2 linked regions of the Lonchura striata genome follow. The protein of the gene in region 2 interacts with the protein of the main gene of each other region in a biochemical or structural test. Links are inferred from orthologs where the notes say so. Each region holds a gene or a part of one and is shown on either strand. Other genes may lie near its edges.

Region 1 (6,028 bases), on a different chromosome or scaffold from region 2:
GGCTCGGTCCTGTGAGGGCCCCGAGGGGGAGCAGCTTCAGCCCCAGAGAGATCACGGATGGGCTCAGAGGCATGTGGGAGATGGGGCATCAGACAGTTTATGGCGCAGACATGAGGGAATTCGGGGGTACCCAGTGGGGTTATAAGGCATGGGGGAGGTTGGGAAACCCTGTGAGAGTTATGGGCTATCCAGGAAAGCAATGTGACACCCAAAGGGTCAGGACACTGGGGAGAGGGCTGGGTACACATCCAGGAGATTGGTGGGCCTTGGGCTGGGAGGGTGGTGGTGATTATGGGGAACCCATGGGAGTTGTGAGACACCCAAGAAAGGGGAGAGGGCAGAGACACCTCAGTGGCCTATGGGTGTTCCAAGCCTCCTGGGAACCATAAGGCACACGGGGGCCAAATACATCTTGGACAGGGTTGGGGTGACCCAAGAGGCGCAGGGGGCACCCAGGGAGGGGTATGATCGCAGGGTCCCGCCAGAAGCTGATGCTGGAGCCCAGGCCTCTGACACCTCCTTTATTGCCAGCGCTAACAGAGCCCCTGACGGCAGGGAGGGTCTGCGCCCGCGCCGAGGGCCCACGAGGGTCCGTGCCAGGCGTCACTGCGGGGCCGTGTAGGTGCCCGCCAGGTGCACGGGCAGCCCGTCGCGGCAGGCCACGCGCACGTGCTGCTGCGCCTGGCGGGCGCGGTAGGCGCAGGGCGGCCGCGTGTCCCCGCCGCGCAGCCGGCACGCCGTCAGGCTCAGGGCGCTCGGGGTGCTGTGGAACCCCGTCTCGGGGTCGGGCGCCTGGGAGCAGGCGGCCACCAGGTCCGTGGCCGGGGCGTGCACGAAGGTGTTGGAGGGCTTGCAGGGCCTGCCCGGGGCCGTCACGCGCCGCCGCGCCAGCATGGTCTCGCAGTAGCGATGCGCCGCCAGCGTGGACGTCCGGGGGTTGTCCACGTGCTGCCGCAGGAACTTCTCGTAGCGGGTCTCGACCGCCGCCCCTGCCAGCGCTGCCAGCGCAAGGGTCACGCACAGCACCCAGCCCGCCATGGCCACCTAGGGAAGGTGGGGTTAGGGCCATCTGACCTCTGGGCCCCCGACTGGAAATCCCACCCTGGGCGCTTGGTTATTTTAGAGATTCCCCTCCCAAATCCCTGGGTCCCATACAAATCACCTCCCAGTGCAGGGGGCCCATCTCTGGACAGATGGGCTATCTGTGGATCTCGCCTGGATGCATGGGTCCCCTAAGTTATGCGCTCCCCGGAAGCCTCAGTCCCCCATGGAACACCCCCTACCCGCTCCTCAGACCCCTGGCTCCCCTATAGATCCACCCCATGCCCCCACACCCGGATGCCATACACAGCCTCCCTTCCCCACTGGATGCTTGGGTTCCTCACAGAGCCCTCCCACAGGCATTCTGGTCCCCTGTGCACCCTTCACCTGCACCTGTGTGCGCGCCTCAGTTTCCCTTATGGCCTCAGGGTCTCCAGGATCCCTCCCACTCCTCTGCACCTCTTTTATACTGGCCCCAGCTGTGCCCAATGGGCAAGGATCCAGGAGGAGGGGCAGGGTAAAGAGCAAGGTCCAGTGGATGTCTGGGGGAATCAGGTGTCCGGGAGGCCCTGCTCACCCTCATGGCCCCCAAGGTCATTAGGTAGTCATTAACGAACCACGTGACTGTCTGCGTGCATCCCCTTGCGTGGCCCCTGCCCACTCTGGCCTTGGCCACCTGTCCCATGAAAAGCAGGATACCTGGGTCCTTTTGGGTGGTAGGGCAAGATATGTGGGTCCCTGGTGGGGGGCAGGATGTCACCATCACCACTGGGGCAGCTGGCAGATGTTCCTACAACTCTTGAAAGATATGGCACATCCATGGCTCTTCTGCAGTGCTAAGGGGCCTATGTGTTCCTTTTCCCCGTGTCCCCTTGCAGGCAAATTCACACTCCTGGAAGTGCCAGGATGCATTTTTCCTCACTGCTACCTCCCATGCTCCCAGCTGCTCCATTGATGCAGAGACAAGCAGAGAGCCAGGAGCCAGCCTGAGTTCACCAAATACTGCTTTCCCTTGACCATTGTAATAGAGCCTCAAAGAAAGCGTGTCCCCTCCAGAGGGAGAGGCATGCAGTGCCCAGGAGAGGCTGTCACGAGTGAGTGCAAGTGGTCTCCATCGCCCTCTTCAAAGACATCAGAGAGACTCCGATGGGAAGTGGAAAAGACAGAATGAGGTCCTTGGCAGCACCTTTCCCAAAAGAGCTTTAACACTTTCAAAACTGGCCACAGTGAAAGCGCAGAGGGTCCTGCCCTGGGCTCTGGTGGCGTTTCTACAGCCTCTGAAGAAATTCTCCTCAAAGGTACACAGTTCCTACAGTGGGAACTGTTCAGGAACCTGGCCAAAACCTCGCAGATGTGGAAGGTCAGCAGGAGACTCTGCTTGAGACTCAGGGTATTGAGACTCTCAATACCCTGCTCCTGGGCATGAAAGGAGGATGGGGACTCTCACCATGACCCCTCAGACACACTGCTTCCCACTGTCCTGGTGTGGGTGGAAAAGGGATGGCACTCACCGGACGAGGAACAAGCCTGGATGCTTGGCAGTGGGCTCTCTTTAGTGGGCATGGTGCAGGTACCTGTGCTGGACCCCATCCTACCTGGCAGAGCCCCAGGCATATTCTTGCCAGAGGCTGCTGTGAGGCTCATTGGGGAGCCACAGCCTGTGGTCAGCTCTTGTTCCAGGGGGTTTCCAACTGCTTGGTGATGTCCTGGGCACCGCTTCTCCATGTGCCATCCCTGCCCATGCAGGAGGGCTGAGTGAAGCCTCCTCCTGCTCTGTGCAGAGGGGAGAGGAGCCATCAGCCAGGGCATTTGGAGCAGCCCAGACCACCCACTCTGGTTGTTCCCTCGGTGCCCCAAGGCCTGGGAAAGCTGCCGATTCTAGGAGCTCTCAAAACATAATTTAGAAAGGAGATATTTTTTTTTTCTGCACAGGATGCAAGGTGGAGGTTTGACAAATCAAACACTCCATGGGGTAAAAAGTAACATCTTTTATACAGTAAAATTCACATGAGCCTGCTTGTCTAATGCATATTTCTCATCTATTGATGTATATTTATTTGTTTGTATGACAGCACTCTTATGCAATACTTGAAATACAAAGTTCCTCATTGCCAATTTCCATTGTAGAAAATATCAGACGACATCAGTTACGTTTACAAAAGGTGATGAGATTCAGCCTGGGGACAGATAATTCAGCTTGAAGACATCAGAAAGGGCAGGAGGTGGCACCTGCCTTTCGCCCGAGCACCGTCGGTGCAGCGAACCCCGTCCTTGTGGCTCTGCCCGTCCGCACAGCTGCCCCACCGGGGCATCCGCATTTCCGGGCGCCCCGCGGGGATCGGGAGCGCGGGGCCGGGCGCCCCGCGGGGATCGGGAGCGCGGGGCCGGGCGCCCCGCACGGATCGGGAGCGCGGGCCGGGCGCCCCGCGGGGATCGGGAGCGCGGGGCCGGGCGCCCCGCGGGGCTCCAGGCGGGGGCGCTCAGGAGCACGGGCGGCTCCCCCCGCCCCCCGTGCCGTTGGTTCCGTCCCGCCCCCGCTCCCGGCGCTGGAGGCGGCCCCGCTCTCGCGGGTCTCGCGCGAGCGCCGCTCCCGTATAATCTCGCGGGAGCGCGCGCGCCGCCCTTTCCGCGGCGCGGGCCGGACATGGCGGTCGGGAAGAACAAGCGCCTCACCAAGGGCGGCAAGAAGGGCGCCAAGAAGAAAGTGTGAGGGCCGCCGGGGCGCGGCGGGCGGTGCGGGGGGCGCCGGGCGGGGCGCCGCGGAGGTGGGATGCCGGGGATGCGGGGCGGATGGCGGCCGCGGCCCGGCCGGAGCAGGGCCGATGCCGTCATGGCGGGCGTGGGCCCGGCGGGGCGGGAGCGGCGGCGGCAGCCGGAGAGGAAGGGCATGCTGCAGCCCCGTGTGGCCCGAGAAGGTCGGTTAAAAAACCTGCTTCGTTTGATTCAAGGGTCGACCCTTTCTCCAAGAAGGACTGGTACGATGTCAAAGCACCGGCGATGTTCAATATCCGGAACATCGGGAAGACGCTTGTCACCAGGACTCAAGGAACTAGTGAGTGCTTGGGCTTGGGGCAGTACCGGGGATTGTGATTGCTCCGCATGCTAGCTCCAAGCGCTTAAAGAACTCTCTGTATAAAAGACTGCTGAAAAATGAAAAATGCTTCTACTATTACGAGCTTGGAAGCTTAAAAAGTTGGGTGATTTGAGTGGATTTTTTTTGAGTTGACTGAGCTGTTTGAATAAATGAGATTAGCTGCAGGAAGTTCGTACACTGGACTCTTGTTTGTACAGCAATGCCAAACCATGGAAGAAAGGGCCTGAAGTTTCTAATGAGTTTCCCTTGTAACCTGGCAAGTCGGGAAAGGTTCAGGAAGTAAGCAGTAGTACTGATTGTCATGGGGGGAGATGTGGGACGGTGCCACAGGAGACCTTAGTCCTAGTAGTACCATAACGACCAACACATGAAGACACTGAAATAGATGAAATGTAAAGCTTTTGAGTAAAGATTAGAGCCGGAATTGCTGACTTAATGGGAGCACTGATGTATCACAGGAGGGTAAATTCGTGTGGCACATCTTAGGAAGAGAGACTTCTGTTAGCAATGCAGAGGTGTCTGGATAGAGGTGACCATGTGTTTGGAAGTTTAGCCATGGAGAATGGCTGAACAGCCTTATGATACTCTGCTGGCTGCACTCAAAGTTGGGATGATGATTGTTGCTTTGAACTGTAACATCTGAAACAAATAAAATGAGGGTTGCTGCCAAACCAGCCAGTGTTGTTAAAATGGCTCCTCGTTGGAGGAGGAGCGGTGAAATGATTGTACTGGGCTGTTCATTCCTACTTCATCTCTGCTGAGCACTTGTGGCTTTTTATGTTTAGTTTTCTCATGACTGTTGATAATTTCCAAATACTCTGTAACCCATTTATGCTTGAAACAAACCAAATTATTACACGTGGAACTGGTGTGTGCTGCTGTCCGTATCCCACACCTGATAATACTGCCTTGAAAGATTCCTCCCAAAGGGAGAAATTTCCAACCTTGCTGGCTCTGTGATCACCATTAGAAAATATCAGAGAACAGGATTCCAGCGGGAATTTAGTATCTGATTTGAAGAATGTGCTTCTAATGTTAATCTAAGGTGTTTTATTCTGTTCCATCTCCCAGAAATTGCCTCTGACGGGCTGAAGGGCCGCGTGTTTGAAGTGAGCCTGGCTGATCTGCAGAATGATGAGGTTGCCTTCCGCAAATTTAAACTGATCACTGAGGACGTTCAGGGCAAAAATTGTCTGACCAACTTCCATGGGATGGACCTCACACGGGACAAAATGTGCTCCATGGTCAAAAAATGGCAGGTGTGTAAGAAACAAGGTGTGGTCGCTGCCGGTGCCTCAGGGAGGGAGGGAGCGCTGGTGCCTGGCAAAGCTGTGTTTGAAGCGGCATCGGACGGCGTGGGGTGTGTGGGGCTGGGCAGCCCGTGCTGCGTGGGTGGTGATGGTCCTGCTCCCTCTTGCAGACAATGATTGAAGCCCACGTGGATGTCAAAACCACAGACGGGTACCTGCTGCGCCTCTTCTGCGTGGGCTTCACCAAGAAGCGCAATAACCAAATCCGCAAGACCTCCTATGCCCAGCACCAGCAGGTCCGGCAGATCCGCAAGAAAATGATGGAGATCATGACCCGGGAGGTGCAGACCAATGACCTGAAGGAAGTTGTCAATAAGCTGTAAGCTTTGGCTGTGTTCTTTTTTTGTCCCCTACAGTTTAAATCCTTGTTTGGGGGTTGATTTGTGCTGAATGCCTGAGGGAGGAGCGCTGGTGCATCCCAAGCTGTTTGCCAGAGACCAGGCAAGGAGTCCCTGGTGTGGAAAAGCCAATTGTCCTTCTCTGCAATTGGCTCCTCTTAGTGTCTGCATCCCTTCTGACCTGAATCCACTGTCACGTTTGCATAAATGTAAAATCACTCTCCAGAAGATTTGTGGTTCACATT
Region 2 (7,479 bases):
CTGGTAAGCAGATTTTTTTTTTTTTTTTTTTTTTTTTGGTCTGCAGTAAAACTGCATTTCTGAACTGATGTAAACAGCGCTGTGCAGAACAGCTCCAGATAAACGTGCACAAAAACATGCCAAGGCCAGTAGCTGAGCTCTAGGTTTAGTCTACAAGGGATGGGGTTAAAGGCACCGCTGTAGTAGGTGATAAAATGCAGCCTTGGTCTCCTGGTTTGGCCAGCATGACTCAGACTACGGGGCATGAAAAAGAAATAATCCCTGAGCTATTCCGTGGGAATGTAAGCTGCAGGCAGCCACCGTCGTCCCTCTTTCCAGTCCCCTCCTGCCTGCCGCCGTAACATCGCGGGGACCCCAAGCTGGCTTTTCGGAGGCCGGCGCGCACCAGCGCTGCCGTCAGGGCGCGCCCACAACAAACCCGGCACCCACGTGGGGAGGGGCTCGGCAACCGCGGCCGGACCGGGACACGGCGCCAGCGGCAGCGAGAGCGCACCGACCTGCCCGGCCTCGGCCCTTCCCTTCCCAACGCGAGCGCTGCCGGGAATCCCGGCCCACGGCCTCCGCGGGACCGCACCACAGCCCCACGTGTCGCGGGCTGATGGGGATCGGAGCCAGCGGCGACACGCGAGGGGACAGTGGCAGCCGGACTGCCATAGCCCTCGCCGCGTCGCTCGGGCACTCTCCCGTTTTAGCCCCCCCCGGATCGAGAAGAGGTTCTCCCCGCAGCCCCGAGTTCTGCACCTTCCTGCGAGCCGAGGAGGGATCCCGTTCCGTTCGGGGTCCCGGGAGCGGCCCGGTCCTACCCCGAGGCACTGCCGCCACCGCTGCCGCCGCGCCCCGCCGCCTCCCGCACCGCAAGCAGCGCTCTTCCCTCCCAGGCTTTCTTCCCTCCCTGCTCCCTCCGCCCCGGCCCGGCCCGGCTCCCGGCTCCTACCGCCGCGCCGCCACCGCGCAGCTGCCGCCGGCTCCGGCCCGGCTCCGCCTCGTATCGCGGCGGGGAGGAGCAGGATCTGTCCCTCCTCCCCTTTTCCCCTTTCTTCCCCCTTTTCCTCTTTCTCTCCCTTTTTCTTCCTTTTTCCCTCCGTTTTCCCCCTCTCTATTTATTCATGCCCTCTCTGACACTTAACGCCCTTTCCCCTCTCTTTTCCATTTGTCTTTCCCTTTCTAAATTTTTCCTGACTTCTCCCTGCTTCCCTCTCCCCCTCTTTTCTGACCTTCTTTCCTCCTTTCCTCTCTTTTCCCTTCTTGCTTTCCCCCTCCACTCTCCTTTATCTGTTTCCTTCATATCTCCTTCCTTCCATTTTCCTCACTTCCTTTTTTTTAACTTTTTAGTTTTTCCTTCCTTCCTTCCTTCCTTCCTTCCTTCCTTCCTTCCTTCCTTCCTTCCTTCCTTCCTTCCTTGCTTCCTTCCTTCCTTCCTTCCTTCCTTCCTTCCTTCCTTCCTTCCCTCCCTCCCTCCCTCCCTCCCTCCCTCACTTCTCTCTTCCTCCCTCCCTCACTTCTCTCTTCCTCCCTCTCTCTTCTCTCATTTTTCTCTTTAACCATTCTCTTTTGTTCCTTTTTCTGCCCTCCTTTTTTCTGCTATCTCTCCTCCTCTGTCTTTCCTCTTTTTCATCTTCTCACCAACTTCTCTATTTTCGACCTTTTTCCCTCCCTTTCCTTTTACTCCTATATCCTGTTGCCCTTTTTTTCCCATCCTCCCTGATACCCCCTGAGGAGGAGCACTGGGATACGCAGGAAACAAAATAGGAGAAAGAGAAATCCCTATCATAAGGGGATGCACAAAAGGTGGCAGTATCAAACAGAAGATGAGGTAGTGTACCAATCAGCTGAGAGGGCAACCTTTGCAGTGTGCCAGGACCTGGAGCAAGATGGGAATGCATGCAGATCACCCAGAGCAGAGGCACCGTGGCAAGATCTCAGCTAGGGGAGACAAGATTTCCCCAGGGAGCACGGAACTAGGAATTGTTTGAACTGGAAACAACAAAAATATCCTCAGTGGTCTCCCTGACTTCCATCTTCCAGACAGCTGTGCACGGGAGGCCAGCTCGGAGGGCCTGGCAGCCCCTGCTCCCCATCCCTGGCACCAGTCTATCCACGACGCATCTTCTCGTATCTGTGTCCCTCATCAGCCCAACACCGGCAGAGAGCTGCACCTCGCTGGCACAAAGGCCTCTCTCTCTGAGCCCTTTGGAACGGAGCTGTGACAGCAGTGGAGGATGGGCGCCTCGGCCTTGTGCTGCTGCCAGGCCTGTTGCGCTCCGGGCTCTCCCCGTGCCACTGCCCCCACTGACCCCAGTGACCAGTGGCTGTCCCGCACATCCGTCCCGTGGCAGGGCGAGGGTGGCAGCGCTTGGTCAGGGCTGGAAGGCATTCGTCATCCCTTGGCTCGCTTCCTCCTCCGCCTGCTAGCTACTCCCTGTCTCCCTCCCTATTGTTTCCCGGTAGTTTTAACCTCGGTAAAAGCTCATTCAGATTTTCACAAGACCGAACAAAGAAAGGTTTTGAAGTGCCGAGAGGCATTAGGCGACACCCCGACTTGCCTTTCTCCCTCCACCCCCAAGATCTCAGCGTCTCCCCAGTTTTTTCTACCTACAAACACCCTCTTTCCATAACCCTGGCTCACACAACAGTTCAACTAAGCACAAGCAGCTGTTCCCTACAAAGCAGGGCTTTGAAATGGTTCCGTGCTCCTCCCCGGAAAGCAGGAGGGAAAGTTTCGGGAGTTTCAGAGCCTGCTTTTGCCGCTGGTACGTACCTTGCTGTTGTCGGTTCTGTGCAGCAGCGAGGGGAGCAGAGCCGGCGCCTTCCTGCTGTCGTTACCACGCAACCTCTGCTGTCGTACACATGGTGCCTGCTAGAGGGAGGGAAACAGTTTTGGGCTCTGACGGCTTTTTTCCTCTCGTGGCAGCTCTTCAGGGCCTTGCAGAGCAAGCACGATTATGTCTGGCTTGTGACTAAGCAAATGGTGCAAAAAGCTCCTGATGGTGACAGAGGCAGCTTTTACTTCTCGCACTGGATTATGTGGCCACTTGCCATGGTTTAGCACAGAACAAAGGAGTAGTTGCCACTGAAGGATCCATCCGAAAATGAGGCCACCACAGTGTTGAAGTGTGGGTAGAGATGGTGAAGTTTGCCTAGTTTCTCCATTTTCCAGGCAAGCCTGTTCTGCCAGGCTTAGGAATGATGCTGAGCACATTACCTGTCACCTTACTGGGGTCTCTGCATCCCTCTTCCCAGCAGGGGCTAGGGCACAGGCAGTCAGTCCCCTGCTTCTGCACAAGCTGAATGCTCACACTGTCAGGAAGGGTCCCTTGGGCACAGTCCTCATTGTGTCTCCCTAAAACTGCCCCTCAGCAGCTAGCATGGACCTCACTCCTACAACCTTCTCCTCCCAAATTCCCACTGAGGCTCTTCTCCTCCTCAAGGAAAACCCTGCCTTCACTCAAGCTGTATTGCACAAAAGTTGCGGGTTGAAGTAACGTGCCTTCTTCCCCCATTCTCAATGGTGTGAAGATGAATTAATTTTTCAATAGTCTGAAAATGATCCAGTAGCAGAAGGACAGATTTGTCTTTCCCTTCTGTGGCTGCAGATGCTGACAGAGATGATGGTAGAATGATGTCCTGGGAAACAGAGCCTTTGTTGAGTCACAGGAGAAACACTAGAGGCTTTCCCTCCAGCTGCATTTATTACAGTTCTCCTGAAGGAGATTGGAACCAGGAGAGCTCAGTGAGCTAAAACCCACCTTCCTCAGTGCCCAGAAGAGAGTTGAAAGCCAGAGAATTCACCTCTTCCCTATTCCCTCTCAGGAAAACAGGGTCATCCACATAAAGAATTTGCTAGTCCTTGTGCTTCTGGGTCTGACCTGAAACCTGCTGAAGCACAGGCAAGAGCTTGGGGATGGCCTGAGCTCCTGGCTTTGGTGCTTGTTAGGATGCTCCCTGGCAGGCAAATGGAGGGGATGCTGTGGCTATTGAAGGATGTCTCTGCCCTTTTTGCTTGGCATGATGCTTTCAGAAGACCACTAGTGTTAGGAAGAAAGTTTATGCTGGCAGATCTCCCAGTCAACCAGGCAATTTGAAGATCCGACAGCAAAGGTGTCATTTCCTATTCAGCCATTGCTGGCATCTCTCTGCTCTTGGTTCCCACTTCACTGCACTTATCAGGAGTCTCTAAAGGACAAAGTCTAGTGTTTGTTAGTGATTTCAGAGAGGTTTATGTCACATGGACCTTCTGTAGACCTCTTGTCCTGGGCAAAACTCCCAATACACTCTGGTCTGTGTTGGTGAAATATTATATTTATAGGCCAAATAGCCTTACCAAAAGGTTATGTGCTTTTGTACCCTTTGGCTGCCCTCACTGTGGGGACAACAAAAGGCATCTCTGGAAAAAATCTATTGCCTTTTTCCTAGCATGCAGGACCAGGCCATCCTGCTCATCGAGATACACACAGATCCAGAGGAAATGATACAAAATGGGGCTCAGAAAGCCAACAGCAAACACAAGTGAGAAATACCTGTGAATGTCTTGCCACTGAAACAGTGGAAGACTCCTGACATGGAAGGCATGTCCATTTGGTTATTTGTACAGGCTCAGGCTGATTCCTTAAAGATGCCTTGAGGAGTCTGGCAGTGACATCTGCCCTGTGTTCTCCTCTTTATCACAGTTTCCCATTATCCTTTTGCGTTCATTCAAATTTATCTCCTCTTTTTTTTTTTTAGATCCTCTCCCTCTTTTGGCCTTTGTAGCAGGGAGGGAGAGCATAATGATGCCCATCTTGCCCCTGCTGCCTCTCTGCATTTAAGATTACTTTATTTTAAAACTAAATTTATGCACACAATCCTAGAGTAAACTTACAAAAAAACACTTAAATTAAGGCCATTAGTGTAAACTGAAAACTCTGCCTCTTCCCCTTCTAGCAGTTTCCTGTTCTGTCCTCTCTGCTCTTATGATGCCTCTGTGCATATACTTAATGGTAATTAAAGACAATAAACTTCTAAGAGTAGTGACAGATCTTTTTCTAACTTGATTATGTGATCTGTACCAGCAAATTCATTCCATAAATTCAGCTGTGGAGATCAAAACCGTGAGTTTTAAGCATCTGCCCAGCTCCATTTGTTGCAGTGAGTGATTTGTTTATATCCTACTTGATCCATTGCTGGAAGCCATTTGTTCCTTCAGTTTGTGTGCAAATTTGAAGTAAGGCTTTGTAGGGTGAGGAAATGCAAAACTTGGGTCATTCCTGAAGAGTCAGTGGGCTGATTAAGCACTGGGGAGCAAAGTATCTGTGGAGCTAGAATGGAGAACCTGACACTGTGGCTTAACTGATGCCTCAGGAGCTAAAAAAAAAAAAAAAAAAAAAAAAAAAAAAAAAAAAAAAAAAAGGAGGTTATAAACAGGTGCTGGTAGCAAGCTGTGAGCAAGGTTTGGGTGTTTCAGAAAATACAGGCAATTGCTCACCCTGACTTGCATGCGTGCACACACACATATGGATGTTCCATTCTGTGGCAGCTCATTATAGATTCCCACAAGAAAACCATTAGAGAGGAAATTCTTGCTGTTCTAATGTGGTCTCCTTGTTCTTGTAAAAGAAAAGCTGTTGTTTCCATTTTGCACTGTGGGTTTTTTTGGGTTGTTTTTTTTTTTTTTTTTTTTTTTTTGTTTTTTTTTTTTTTTTTTTTGAGGGAGTGGAGAGCATTATATTGAAGTAGTGCTGTGAGTGTATGTGTAATATTTTATCCCTGTGGATACAGTCTTTCACAGTGGGTCCAGGGAAAATGGAGCCCCAAGAAAACGGAGCTTGCCAGATATCTACATCAACCAACACACCTGCAGAAAAAGTACTGTCAGAGGAATTTTTCTCACATCCCTGCTTTTCTTCATATTCTGTCTCAGCCTTCGGCAGTGTTTGCCTGCCCGTCTGCAGAGGGCGATGCAGCATCAGTTTGACCAGACTTATGGTCCTCTGGTTTTCCCTCATCCCGAAGTTGCCCTTGGTCACCAAGACATTGCAGGGGTTGAGGGCTGAGATGGAGCCACAGCTAGAGGGGAAACGGAGAGGACTAGACCAGAAACACAGGTGTATTTCACAGCACAGTCTCTTCATGCCAGCTGTGCAGCAGCTGATGAAATGGGAGACTGCAATGGATCTCACTTTCCTGTTAAATCTTGCTGCACAGGAAGACTTGAATAATTTGCTGAAACTTTGAAGGTCACTGTAGGGACAGCTGGTTATTTCATTATTTTGTCCAGGACTCAGAAGTGTGAGTTTAAATCAGCTTTAAAAGGCAAGAATGAAATCTTGGAGCTAAAAGAACCTCAACCACCATATGCTAATCTGGTTTTCAGACCTCACTTTACATGATACCATTGCTTTTTTGCAGAAAGGAATAATAGATGTCCTCTGCCAGTAGAGGCATCTCTCTTTAGTCTCCATGAGAATATCCATGAGAATTCATGGGTATTTGTGTCCAGAAAAAATCACTTTGTATCCTAGAGTCGCGATGGTCAGGAAAGACCTCAAAATGATCATGTACATCTGTTAACCCAGCAACACTGTGTTCACCACTAAACCATAACCCAGAGTTACATCCACATGCCTTTTGAACAATTCCAGGGGTGGTGATTCCAACATTTACCTGGGCAGCCTGTTCCAATGCCTGACCATCCTTTCAGAGAATAATTTTTTCCTAATATCCAATCTAAACCTCCCATGACACAACGTGAGGCCATTTCCACTGATGCTGTAACTTGTCACCTGTGAGAAGAGACCCCTTCACCTGCCTAAAACTCCTTCCAGGCAGTTGTAGAAGTGATTTGGTCTCCTGAGCTTCCTTTTCTCCAGGCTAAACAGCTCCAGTTCCCTCAGCTGCTTCCCATAAGACTTGTGCCATAAAAAAACCCACTGCATTCTCTCTTTAATCCAGTTCTTCCTTGGATTATTAGAATTAATTTGCTGCAAAGGTTTGGGGGTGGGATATTTTGGAGTTTCCTCAGGTGTAGGCTGGAGCCTGAGAGCAGCTTGAAAGTTGAATTTCATTCTTTGTCATTGAAATTTGCCAGAAAGATAATTTCCTTGTGCATATAACTGAGGAAAGTGCTCAGAATTGTTTTCCTCCACTGAATCCCAGTTCAGTTTGTGGCAGGGATGGAAATGCCAGCTGAGTGTAATCCTGTGAGGTTGTTTTTTCGTTATGATACACCATCAGTTTTAATAAACAGCTTCTCTCTCTCTCTTTTTTTTTTTTTCTTTTTCTTTTTTTTTTTTAAGCTTTTGGTTATTCCTTGTGGCTTGTTGCAGTAGAATAGGGGCAGAATGTGAAGAACTTGCTTGAACTTTGCAATTGGATAAATTCAGGGAGCAAAGTCTTGACCTTTTTTTAAATAAATGCCACCTATATCAATGACTCCTTCTTAAATTTGCAGAAGATGAAGAAGTGTTTTGGCTCCACCAGAGGCCTCCAGGTGAAGGCACCTCA

The links. The genes of interacting proteins can lie anywhere in the genome.
Region 1: the proteins of RNH1 (region 2) and ribonuclease CL2 are reported together in a solved structure, tested with the Homo sapiens proteins (3 studies listed by BioGRID and IntAct, with this or other methods). The link is inferred for Lonchura striata from reciprocal best matches to the Homo sapiens genes RNH1 and ANG.

The regions. Positions count from the first base shown.
Region 1 is NC_134606.1:43,716,173-43,722,200, reverse strand, and holds ribonuclease CL2, read right to left. Parts: upstream 1,531-6,028; 5' UTR 1,435-1,530; exon of another isoform or gene 1,429-1,434; intron 1,045-1,428; 5' UTR 1,039-1,044; coding exon 604-1,038; 3' UTR 507-603; downstream 1-506. Other genes in the region: RPS3A (small ribosomal subunit protein eS1), read left to right, coding at 3,686-3,747, 3,990-4,093, 5,207-5,394, 5,556-5,764. UniProt on the Homo sapiens protein: Secreted ribonuclease that can either promote or restrict cell proliferation of target cells, depending on the context. Endocytosed in target cells via its receptor PLXNB2 and translocates to the cytoplasm or nucleus.
Region 2 is NC_134608.1:44,411,946-44,419,424, forward strand, and holds the start of RNH1 (ribonuclease inhibitor), read right to left. Parts: upstream 3,013-7,479; 5' UTR 2,759-3,012; intron 1,008-2,758; exon of another isoform or gene 935-1,007; intron 825-934; exon of another isoform or gene 742-824; intron 1-741. UniProt on the Homo sapiens protein: Ribonuclease inhibitor which inhibits RNASE1, RNASE2 and angiogenin (ANG). May play a role in redox homeostasis. Required to inhibit the cytotoxic tRNA ribonuclease activity of ANG in the cytoplasm in absence of stress.